Linked DNA regions of Ovis aries. The protein of the gene in region 1 interacts with the protein of each later gene in a biochemical or structural test. Links are inferred from orthologs where the notes say so. Each region holds a gene or a part of one and is shown on either strand. Other genes may lie near its edges.

The links.
Region 2: of the proteins of MAPKAPK2 (region 1) and ZFP36L1, one has a biochemical effect on the other in vitro, tested with the Homo sapiens proteins (2 studies listed by BioGRID). The link is inferred for Ovis aries from reciprocal best matches to the Homo sapiens genes MAPKAPK2 and ZFP36L1.

What each region holds. Positions count from the first base shown.
Region 1 is NC_056065.1:4,329,899-4,335,775, reverse strand, and holds part of MAPKAPK2 (MAP kinase-activated protein kinase 2), read right to left. Parts: intron 5,024-5,877; coding exon 4,884-5,023; intron 4,720-4,883; coding exon 4,655-4,719; intron 4,402-4,654; coding exon 4,322-4,401; intron 3,841-4,321; coding exon 3,714-3,840; intron 3,109-3,713; coding exon 3,033-3,108; intron 2,676-3,032; coding exon 2,551-2,675; intron 2,294-2,550; coding exon 2,208-2,293; intron 2,108-2,207; coding exon 2,027-2,107; intron 1,518-2,026; coding exon 1,374-1,517; 3' UTR 1-1,373. UniProt on the Homo sapiens protein: Stress-activated serine/threonine-protein kinase involved in cytokine production, endocytosis, reorganization of the cytoskeleton, cell migration, cell cycle control, chromatin remodeling, DNA damage response and transcriptional regulation.
Region 2 is NC_056060.1:78,699,644-78,705,986, forward strand, and holds the start of ZFP36L1 (mRNA decay activator protein ZFP36L1), read right to left. Parts: upstream 3,521-6,343; 5' UTR 3,383-3,520; coding exon 3,326-3,382; intron 879-3,325; coding exon 1-878. UniProt on the Homo sapiens protein: Zinc-finger RNA-binding protein that destabilizes several cytoplasmic AU-rich element (ARE)-containing mRNA transcripts by promoting their poly(A) tail removal or deadenylation, and hence provide a mechanism for attenuating protein synthesis.

The DNA of each region.
Region 1 (5,877 bases):
GTAAAGACAATTTTGCTCATACAAAACGACAAGAGTTCACAACAGTCTGAGAGCTGGGCGCCGTCAGAAGCGGGGAGGCGCTGCGGGCAATCGGTGCCTTGCCCTCGCACCCCGAGAAGGCCCCGGGCACCCCCAGCCCTGCCCGAGGGAGATGAGAGCTGAAGCACCACCGCCCCTTGCCCCAGGGACCGCGGTGCAGGGGCCCTCCCCACAGTGCTCAGGTTAACACGGGGCCTCCCCACCCCACACTGGCCTGGACACGTCGCTGAGTTGTTTGGGGCGGGGGGCGAGGGAGCAGCTGGTGAGGGAGCAGTTGGTGGGAGAGGGGCAGAGTCGGGACATCTTTGGTGCAAAGCCTCCCCCACCCGCCCGCTGGGCGGCGCCATGGACACTTGCAGAGGCCACGGGGGGTGCCATGCTCGCCCCCAAGGGACTGTGGACCGACAACCCGGAGCCCAGGAGGCACTCAAAAGCCAGGCTCACCCACGTGGGCTGAGGGCGGGCCTGCTGCAAAACGGCTGCAGACATGAGAGAACACCAGCAGGTTAAGAACGGCAGGAAGGGGGCGCAGAGGCCTGACTTGACAGCTCGGCGCCTTGGCGGAGGGTTCCAAGCGGGGCTCCAGTCTTCCTGGCGCTGCGCCAGTGCTCCATGCGCCCTTGTCTGCGCGGGGAGCGGCCCACACAGGCGGGGCCGGCGGCCTGGCTCAGGGCCAGACAGGCTCCCAGGCACTTGGGCAGGCCCAGCACGGGCAGGGTGGGCCTGGGCAGGGGAGACGGTTCCGAGTGCGGCAGGGGCCCCGCACACGCACACGCACACACACTCACACTCACTATCCGTCTGGCACACCGGGGACATCCGAGGGCTCAGCAGAGCCTCCGGGCCTCAGGCCCCACGGTCTGCAGCTCCTGGCAGGCCTCAGCCAGTGGGAACCTGGGGCTGTAGCGGGGAGGTCAGGGGGCCAGCGGCGCAACGCAGGACGCCCCTCAAGAGGGTTCCACAGACACCCTAGGACACACCGCAAACCCTTGCAGTCTCCAGACAGGACGGGGCTTGGGGTACACGGACGGGAGTGAGGGCAAGAACAATAAAAGAAGGTTCGTAAAAATTCTAAGTCAAATTACTGATAAAATTGCCAAATGAGCATAGGGTCGAGGGCACGGTGCTCCCTCTCCCCGGGGCCCCAGCCTCCCGGGCGCCCCCTCTCAGGCAGGTGGCCGGAACCGAAGGCAGAACGCAGCCTCTGAAGAGGTCCTGGCCCCTCGCGGCCGAGGAGGAGGGGAAGCGGGAGGAGGCGGCTCTGGGTCTCTGTTTAAAAAATCCAGCCGGGTGGATAGTTATTGCTTGTCCTCCAGCGGAGCGGCAGGCCCAGCTCAGTGAGCGAGGGCTGCGGCTTCCAGGGCCCGCGCTTTCTTCCGCCTCTTCAGAAGGAGAGGGTTGGACGCATCTTCAATCTTTTTTATCTTGATCTGCTCGTAGTCGACCCGCATCGTGGCCAAGGCACTGGTCATCTCCTCCTGGGGGTGGCGACCGGGAGAGACATCAGAGACCACAGACGGAGCAAGGCGAGGATGGGGTGACGTGCGGGAGCGGAGACAGAGGGCAAGCCGGCCGGAGAGCCCAGGGCCGGCTCAGCAGAGCCCCCCTAGGGCCCAGAGCCCCCCAGCGAGCCTGGGGGAGCAAAAAGGACCGACTAGGAGCCAGGAGACCTGGTCTCACGTCTGCTCCAGCCAGTCATTAGCTGGGCGACTGTGAACAGGGCACGCCCCCCAATCCCGGGCCCCACCCAGGCCTCAGTTTCCTCCTCTGCAAAGTGAGGAGACTGCAGAGGACCTTTCAGAGGCAGAGTGTAGGCTGGCAGGAAACGGCCACAGCCAACTTTAGACTGACACAGAAGCCTCTGCCCACAGCCAGGTTAGGGAAGCGGCTCAGAGTCGCTGTGGTACCAGATGACACGGGGTGAGAGGATGCAGAACCAGCCGCCTCCCTGAGCACCACTGAACCCCCCGGCCAGGCGCCCCCTCACCTTGACGTCCTCCCACCTCTCCTTGTCCTCCTTCAGGACCCGGCTGGTGTGCAGTGGGGTTTGAGGGACCTTCGTCGATTGCTGGGGGCAGAGACAAGGGTCCAGGTAAAGACCTGGAGCGGGGCGGGGCCCCCAGGGACCGGCCCAGTGGACCCAGGCGCCTCCAGCCCGCCGGGCTCACCATGATCCAGGGGTGGTTCATGAACTCGGTGATGGCCATCCGCTGGGTGGGCTCGGTCTTCAGCAGGTTCCGGATGAGCATCTTCACTGCGGGGGGAAAGCAGGGTGCTCACAGGGCCCAGAGACAGCTCAGGGGCTACCCGCCCCTCCTGCTCCTTCCCAGTTTTCAGGGAGAAGCCAGACTTACAGGGGGCATGGACATAGACCACTCAAGATGCTTGGCCCTGAGGAACACACACACACACACACACACACACACACACACACACACACGCGCGCGCACAGGAACACACACACAGGAACACACACACACGCACGCACGCACGCACGCGCGCGCTCTTTACCTTCCTCTGATACTTCTGACCATTCTGGGTTGGGGAATTCATACTGGCCCATTCGGATGCGACTCTTCATGCCCGGAGAGATGGCAAGGCCGTGGTTGGAATAGAAGGGGGGGTACCCACACAGCCTGAGCCGACAGGAAGCAGGAAGAGAAGAACAGAGCTGATGTTATTTAGGTCCCACACCAGGACTTCTTGCAAAGTTCACAGAGAAACTGAGACTCACTGATTCAGGTACAAAGTCAGGGACAGGGCCCAGGAATCCAACATACCGAGTATCTAAACCACACATCTTCCTGCCCATTAGCCAATTCGTAGCAATGAGCTGTCAGAGTCCACTCAGCACTGAGAAGGGACACGCAGGACCCCCAGGGCACCCCATCCAGAAGGGGACACTAAGCATGGCCTCTTCCTCTCACCCCAGAGGCAGAGGCTTCGGTCCACGCCTGCCCAGCCCGCGCCCCCAAGCCCCGCCCCACACTCACAGGATGTACATGATGACGCCCAAGGACCACATGTCGCAGGACTTGTCGTACTTCTCTGGGCCCAGCACCTCTGGAGCTGCAAACAAAGACGAAGGCAGTGGGCCTGGGCCTCGGAACACCAGGATCCACCCCGGCCCTCTGTGGGTGATGTGCCCACCCGACCCTTCAGCCCATCATGACGGGACTGCAGCTAGGCCTAGAAGGGGGCAGTCGTAGCCCAGGCCCAGGGCTGGGTAAAGGAGACCCGAAGACCCTCCTCAGCGGGGAGCCCGAGGGCCAGAATCTCAAGATAAAGCAAGTCTTGAACTGCAAGAGCGTTTTAGACTGCCTTTTAGTTTGACAAACCCATTTTGAGAGTTTCCCCTGTGCAGTCGGCTGGGGGCCCCAGACCAGAGGCACATCCCTGACCCCCCTGGGGGTCTGACGGGAACAAGAGCTCTTCTCAGTGAAAGTGCACATTGGCACAAACTTCCACCCATAACCCCACACACATAACTTCCCATACCACTTCAGGCCCAGCGAGACCTGCTAAGCCCACTTCAGGTCAGGTCACATCAGAACCGGGCTACAAAGGGCCGGCAGACACAATTCTTCTGGGCCCTGGGGCCCTGAGACCAGCAAGAGGAGGCTGTGGGAGAAGCTCCGGGCAAAGACGGGCTCCCAGGGTTTCTCCAGACTTACCCACGTAGTATGGTGTGTAACAAGGAGTGGTCAGAGAGTTGTGACTGGTGGTTTCCTTGGCAAAGCCAAAATCAGTGAGTTTGAGAATGGCATTGGGCCTTTTGGAGGTGTATAAGAGATTCTCGGGCTAGAGAGAGAGAGAGAGACAAGGAGCATCTCTGCTGAACCTGTGAGCGGCCATCAGAAACCCGCAGGGGAATGATTCCTCCCTTCCTTCCCGCCCTCATTCAGCAACCGTCTGTCCGGCCCCTATGATCCGTACACCATCGGGACCCTCAGCCCCTGCCTCCCCAGATATCACAGCAGGCGTGGGAGTAAGACGCTGATGCAGAGACAGAGTGAGCGCCACAGGGACACAGACCAAAGGTGGGGTGTGGGGGGTAACTGAGGAGCACGGCCTCAGAAGGCTTCCCGGCCGGGAGGGGGATTTGCCCAGAGGACAGGGCCTGCGGGGCAGAGAGGCGCTCTGCCCACTCTGCGGCAGGAGCCAGGCTGCAAGGACGCAGGACAAGCCTGGGGACCCTTCCGAGGGCGACCGTGGCCCTGACCCCTACGGCCTCCGGGCCCCCTGGGTTGGGGGCTGGGTGGGCAGTAAAAACAGCTGGTACCTTGACATCCCGATGGGCGATGTTGATTGAGTGCAGATACTGGATGGCCTCGCCGATGCTCTTCATGATCTCTGAAGCCTCTGCGGAGGAGACGGGAGCAGGGAGCCAGAAGCCAAGTCACAAGATGCGTCCTTAGGTTTGAAAAGCTGAGGCAAGAGCCCTCCCGGGAAGCCTAAGGCCCCTGACGCCCCCACCCACCCCAGAAGGCGAGGTGCAGGAGCGGGCAGAGCCCCAGCAGCAGGTGGGCAGCGGGCCTGAGCACCTCCCTGGGAGCAGGCCCCTGGAGCCCCGCTGCCCCGCCGCCCAGCTGGGCCCGCGACAGACCCTTTCTACCTCTTTCCGTGAAGGCTTGGTCTCCTCGGTCCTGGATTCGACTGAACAGTTCTCCGCCATCCAAACTGAAACAAAGCCACAGTTAGACTGAGGCCGTGACATCGCACTAGCGCGCAAGCCACTACCCTCCAAGAAGAACGAGGTGCTTGCATGCTGAGTTTCAGCGCCCCCAGCCTGCAGTCCTGGGAAGGAAAGGGGACCGGGCGGGGAGCAGGGTCGGGCTGCTCACCACTCCATGACGATCAGCAGGCACTTCCGCCCCGCGTACAGGTTCTCGTAGACGTCCACGATGCGCACGATGTGCGGGCACTGCGAGGCGCGCCAGTGCAGCTCCACCTCGCGGCGGGCCTTGGGGCAGTCCTGCAGCATCTGCAAGCCAGACCTCCTGAGGGAGCACGGGGGCTGCCCCGCCTGCACCTCCCCTGACCCGGCCCATGTGCCCGTCAGCCCTCACCGGCACGCCACTGAACCCTGCCCCCACATCTGCACCCCGCCCGCCCCGGCCCATCAAGTCCCCTGCCCCAGCCCATTGACGCCCCACCCTGCCATCCACCTGCCAACCCCGGTCCGCCCAACCCCCGCCCCAGCCCATCAAGTCCCCTGCCCCGGTCCATCAACAGCCCCTGCCCCGGTCCATCAACGGCCCCTGCCCTGGTCCATCAAGTCCTCTGCCCCAGCCCATCCACCCCCTACCCAGCCCAGCACCAGCCCTCTTGTCACAGCCCTGCACCCCCTCCCAAGCCTGACTTGGGGCCCTGCAGCTCTCTTTTCTGCTCTAAAAGAAACTTCAGGGTGACCCCTTGTGAGGTCTCCACAGCTGACTGGAGACCACCCTTGACCACGTAGGGAAAGACGGTTGGTCCTCTCCCCAGCTAAAGGCATGAAGTCTACTCCAAAAGGCAGGCAGGGCTGAGCACTGGGAGGCGGAGAGTACAGGATGCCTGGGTGGGAAGAAAGACTGACGAACATCCAGATAACCGCAGAAAGGGGCCTAGAGAGGGGAGCCTCCAGATCTGTCGGGAAAGGAAGCTCTAAGATCCCTGAACCCAGCACACCAAATCCACAGCCATATCCTTTCAACAGCAAATAGCCTCAGGAGCCAGCCAGTGTGATCTAACTCCTGGTTCTTAATAGATCCCCAACCTGGAGCAAGTCACTTAACATGAGCCTTGTTCCCAACCCCTCTTCTTTCAGGGACCAGGTGGCCAAGGTATTAAAGGAGC
Region 2 (6,343 bases), on another chromosome or scaffold:
CTGCTGCTGGAGCTGCTCAGGTAGCCCTCCTGGTCCGAGAGAGAATCCTGAGGGCTGGGGGGAGAGTCAAACATGTGAGGGGACTCAGACATGGGCCGGAAGAGGAAGGTGGTCGGGGAGCCACCCCCGGGCAGCCCCATGCTAGGGGCAAAGAGGCTCGCCAGCTCCTGGCTGGAGAAGGCGAAGGGGTTATTGGTGCCATCGGGGAGGGTGGGTGAGCCCAGGAGGTCATCGGCGCTCAGGATGGGGGGTGGGGTGATGGATGTGGGGCTGTCCAGCAGCCCCGTGGCAGCGGCGGTGGCGGCGGCACTGGGAAACCCAGCAAAGCTAAAGCTATGCTGGAGGCGGGGACGGTCAGCAGAGAGGTCCCGGGCCCCGGCCAGGGCACGGCGCTCCTCGGCGTTGTGGATGAAGTGGCAGCGGGGCCCGTATGGGCAGAAGCCGATGGTGTGGAAGGTGCGGCATAGCTCCGTCTTGTACTTGGGGTGGCGGGTCAGGCTTCGGAGCTCGTGGATGCCGTGGGCGAACTGGCACTTGTCGCCGTACTTACAGGCTCCGTTCTCCTCGAAGGGGCGGCACAGCTCCGTCTTGTAGCGGCTGGAGTTGACCTGGCCGCTTCCCGGCTGCTTCTGGGGGGGCAGCAGCCGCTCGCCCCCTTCTGAGAAAGAGCGGTCTCGGAAGCGGCTGTCCCGAGAGCTCAGAGCTGGGGCTGGCTCACCCTTGAGGCTGCTGAGAAGCTGGTTCTGGTGGAATTTGGAGCTGGGCAGAGTGACCGAGTGCCTCCGGGGAAAACCCCCGCCGGCAGGGGTGCCCACCGCCTTCCTGTCCAGCAGGCAACCCCCGGCACTGGGAGTACTGTAGTTGAGCATCTTGTTACCCTGGAGGGGAAAGAGAGGAGAGAGACTGTGGTTAGTGGCAAAGGCCATCCACCAGGCCCAAGAAGAGTACCCCCTAAGGGCAGCCCCCTCCTCGATCAGAAATGCTCCCTCTCAAAGGAACTCACCATCCTCACCTCTCCGCCGGCAAGCCCCCTCCTCCTCTTTCTCCCATTCCCCAGAGGGTTTACTTTGGTCCCAGGCAGAAGAAACTACAAAAATCCTGGCCTATGTGAGACATTGTTTCACACATGCACCTACTCCATGCCAGTCCCTGGATCCCTGGAATGCACTGTCATATCCTGTCCCCAAAGCTACCACTTTCATCCAGAAAATCCAACTTCACCTTCCTCAGTTGAAAATATCTCACACAATTCACAAACTCTCATTTCCCACCCTCCTAACAAAAAAAGGTAAACCGCAGGAGACTATGGGCTAGGTCTCCTTTCAATCAGTCCCTGCTTAACTGACTACCTCCGCCCCCCACACACAAACACACAGCCTGGCCGAAGACTCTCAACTTCCTCCTTCAGAAGCATCTATTGCTTTGGCAACAGGTTTCCAGACTGCCTTCACTTTACCTTGCTGCTGAGAGGGGAGAGGGAGGGGCTAGAGGAGAAATCCCTGATGGGGGTGGGGGGGGGGGCGGCTACGGGGAGAGGGATGTGATCCCTGAATACAAAACTCCCATGATCCCAGAAGGGGAGCCTTCTACAATGATCTCTCCCACCATTCACTGCGCACCCCACCCCCTCCGCTGAGAGGATGCCTTTGCAGTTAGTCTCCTGGCTGCAAGAGCAGGCTTGGATAAGAGCGCCAGTGTTTAATCTTTAACGCAAAGCTGCAGGTGGGAAGGAAAAGGAAAGCACCAAATCCCCCCAGCCTCCTCCCAGTCAATAATGGACGTGGGGGAGGTGGGGCGGGGGGCAGAGGCACCACAGGCAGGTCTCTGTTCCAATGGGACTCAATTCACCTGCCCAACCTGTACTCAAGATTTGGAAAGGGTGTGAGCAGGGGACCTGGGAGTTGGCTTCCAGGCCCATGTGGGTGTCATTGTGCAAATTCTAAAGTTGGCCCCTTAGGATCAGCTGCGGGGGATCGGGAATCTGTAACAGCAACCACCCCCTGGAGCGGATTACAGGAACCAAGTGGAGAGCCAGTTCCCAACAATGAGGTTCATTTAAAAAGTCCTGAGGGGGGAGGGAGCAAGAGAAAGAGAAATAGATCAAAGAGCTAGAGAGCCGCGAAAAGAAGGAAGAAGTGCCGGCTAGCTCAGGCAGCCGCCAGGGCAACTGAAGTTTGGAAAAGCACAGGGAGGGAAGGAAACTGAAATTCAAACTTTTTGATGTTGCTCTTCAGCTCCAGGGTGTCCCTGCACCCCAACTCTGCAGCCCTGGGGCCCTGGCAGCTGCACCGACTGGAGAAGCAAGCTAGGAAAAGACAGCAACATGACTCGACGTGTTTAAAAGAAGGCAAAACACTTTAGCAATTAAAAGCAGCCAAGCAGCTTCTCTCTTTCAAACCGGGGAGAGGGGGCGAAAAAAAAAAATCTAACATCCACAGGCTTCTGTTATATACCCTTAAACTGCACTTCTGGAATAAATATTTCGGATTTAAAACTCGCCTTTTTCCACACCGGCTGGCAAGCCATACGACTTAAGGAGGCCCTCATTAAATCCTTCCTCGCCAAGACCCTAGAGCTCAGACGGGCATTTTGTCGTCGTGTCTCCCCCACCGCCCCCCCCCAATCCCGTCCATATCCACGAATCTCATTTTCTCAGAAAAGAGGGAAGCGGGTGAACCCGAGCGCCACTTTCACCCCCAAAGTCTGCAGCACGATCGGCTATCACAAGAGGAAGCCTGTCGAGCTGGGGCGAACTGAAGTCCCAATGCAAACTCGTTTGACAACATGCTTTGAATCACAACTCTTGGCCTTTTTCTCGCAGATCCCCAGCCTCTCCAGAACAGAGGGGGAAATCACCCAGCAAAACATCATCCCGAGATTCTCCTTCCCGAGGGACCCGCACCTCCCGACCTGCAGTCCGGCAAAGTGGCTGGAGAGACTCGAACTCCCTCCCGGGAGCGGCGACACCCGAAACGCAGCGGACAAGCGAAGCCGGGCTCAAGAGTGGCACGTCACGGACGAAAAGAATTACCGAAAAATTGCCCCAATCCCAAACATTGCCCAGGGAAGCCCCCACGCACACTGCGCCCCTAAAACTCTGGTCTCTGGATTCCCAGGTAATCCCCGCCAGAACAGTCGAAACGCAAAGGGTGGGGAGGAGAAAGCCAAATTCCTTCAAACTGGGGAGAAAAATGAGGCGGAAAAAACCACCATCTCGCCTCTTTCTCTCCCCCACCCCTGCCCGTCCAGACCTAAACTTTTGGAGATTCTTTTTGAGGACAAAAGAAAAAAGACTTTGAAAAGCAAGCGGTGCGCCCCACTTTACCTTGCATAAAACTTCGCTCAAGTCGAAGATGGTGGCAGACACGAGGGTGGTGGTCATCTTGGGCGCTCGCGCGGGGCAGGGACGAGGGTCTGGTGTGTCGCGAAGGTCCCGGTGCGGGGAAGGCGCAGCCTCCGGCTCTCCGGTCAGGAGTCCCACACGCCTGCTCCCGGCGCCCCTCGCCTTTCCGACTCTCCCGAGCTGCGGCGCGCGAAGCCCAATTTATATAAGTTTCAGATTTGGTGGGCCGGAGGGGGAGGAGGAGCTTTAAACTTATTTAAATGAGGAAGAGAAGAAAAAAAAGTTGATTGACACTGAAGTTGAATCAGCCATGCGGTCAAACTCGGGGGAAAAAAAAAAAAAAAGAAACTTTCAAAAGGAAGAGGGGGGAGGGGAGACGAGGAAAGAAGGCGAAGAGGGGGGAAAAAAAAAACCCACTGCGAGCCGCGCACAACTTTTTTTTTTTCTTAAAGAGGAAAACTTTCGAGTCCGCTCGCCTGTCTACCTCGGGCTGCCGGCGCCCCTTTCTGGGGCCGCGCGCGGCGCGGGGGGTGGGGAAGGGGCGCCCCCCTTTTGTCAGCCTGCGAGCGCTGCTCTGTGACATCACTCATTCCACACTCTTCGGGGTTCTTGTTGTTGTGTTGTTATTTTTCTTTTCTTTTTTTTGGTAGGGCTGGAAGGCGGGCTCGACTTTCTCTTTTTGCTAGCGGGAGCAGAAGCCCGTCCTAAGCGCCCGGTTTCCATCTTGTGCCGATCTCCCTTGAAACTTCTCTAAGTTCCCGCACAACTTCGCTCTTTCCCCGGGATCTTTTCAGCCCTTGGTTCCCCTCCGCAAATCCCACGGGGAGAGGAAACTGGAAATACGGGGAGCACAGAGCGTTCACGTCTAGGGTTTTGTTTATTCAGGGGTGGGGTGAGGGACAAGGATTAAGGAGGTTCCCCCCCAAAACACACACACACACACACCCTGGAGGACCGGGCCTGGCGACGGCGAGCACCAAGCGATTTCGCGCGCCGCTCGCGTCTACACTGGCGTTCGCTGTGCAGCGGACACCCTCCAAGTCTGGGCCGGGGCGGGGGGGCGGGGGGCCGGGGGGGCGGGGTGGTGGGGATGCTCCACGAAAAAGACCCCCGCCCGGGCTGTTTGTTTTCACAGGCCTGGGAGTGGTATTTATTGCACGCAGTAATCTTTAAATAGTTTTCTAAAACAAACCTGAATCCTCACGAACGCCCTTCTGCCCACCCCCGAAAAAAAATCACCCAGCAACGCACAACTTGCCCCGCGCTCTGAACCACAGGCTGCGCCCGAAACTCCCTAAGCAACACGTATACACACCACAGACGCTGGAACCAAAAAAAAAAAAAAAAAAGTTACTTTGGTAAGAATGAAGATACAAAGATGGGGGGAGGCGACACTTACTGTTGCTTCTCCCCCGCCCTCACGGGAATGGAACATATGGCTTGTCACACTGCGCTGTTTTGGCGGGATGGGGGGAGGGGGCATGGGATCCTCGAAACCGAAAGGCCTCGAGTTGGCAATTACTCTTCTGAAAATTGGAAAGTATATATTTATTTACTGTTTGTTCGGACACCCCTCCACCCACCCAAATAAAAAGTTGCGAATGCGTCCCCCACAGACCGAGGTGGAAACCGCGGGGCTGCGTTTCTTTCCTATTTCCCCGCGTGCCCGGCCGCCTCCTCAGCCCTCGCACGTTTCTTCCCAGCACTCGAGGCCGCCGGGTCTGTTATGAAACCCCGTGCGCTGAGTGGCTAAGAGCGGGTTCCATTGCGATGTAATTAGGTCACCCCATTATGAGCACGTTTCTTTGAAAAGGTCCGGGCGGGCGGAGCAGAGCGCTGGAGTCGCACTCTCGCCGCCTCCACCACCACACATATTTTTACTGTATTTCTTATTTACTTGTCGGCCTCCGAGCAAACCCGGAAACCTTCCAAATCACAACTGTTTTAGGAACCTGTTGTCTTTTTTTTCCATCTTCATGAAACACACCACCTTTGCTGCAGCCATGAACCAATGTATGTGCAATGTATGTGATCCCCAGTCCGCTCTGCTTTTATTTGTCCCCTGTGACTTAAGTTAATGGCCCCCATTTTTAACCTGGCCGCTGCCCCCTTGCTTTTCTTCTTTTGGTGTCTTCTTTTGCCTGTTGCTTCCCTCCCCCTGCTCCCATTTTTCAGCTTTTCTTGAAATCTGGCAAGCGCCAGAAGGGGAAATAACTTCCATCCACCTTAATTTAAATCATTCAAATGTAGGTTTCTTTCTTAAAGGGCTGTTTGCTCTCTCTCGTCCCCGCTTCGAGGAGGGGGGTGGGGGGAGCGGTTTCGTGCAGTTTCTTAGTGATGAGGTAATGAGTTCCAGATTTCAGGACAGAATAGGGTGCGCGTTAAAACCACAAGGTTAGTCTGCGTCCTGATGTGAAGCTATTTCAGTTTTCTATACCCCCACTCTCCCCGCAAGAAAAAAAAAGAAAAGAAAAGGGCCCATTGGTCTTTAAATCTGGAGGGTTCGCGAAGCTCTGCTCGGGGCGGGGGGGGGGGGGGACGGGGGAGGGGCGGAGAAGCGGGGGTGGAAAGTCAGGGGGTAGGGGCCCGGAGCGGGCGGGGCCCAGGGCCAGTCCCGACCCGCACCCAGGGCCACCCCCTCCAGGTGGCGCCTCTTACCTCCCCCCCCAACCCCCGCGACTGCGGGACCCGCCAAAAGCACCATGACGGGGCCTTGGCTCCGCGGGCTAGCTAAAAAGTCTTCCACTCCCCACCACCCCCCCGCCAAAAGAAGGCCGATTCCTCGAATTTCCTTCGGTTCCCAACTCCTGGAGGGCGCTCCCCTCCCCCGCTCCCAGGGGCGCGGGCTCCGCGGGCGGCGTCCAGCCCGGCCCGCTCGCTCCGGAGTTGTTTACCGGCCCCACCGACCGACCGGGTTTGTTCCAACTCCCAGAGCCTGTCTCTATAATTAAACTTTTTTTTAATTGTCGGGTTGCAACGTCATTTCGGGGACTTTCCAAG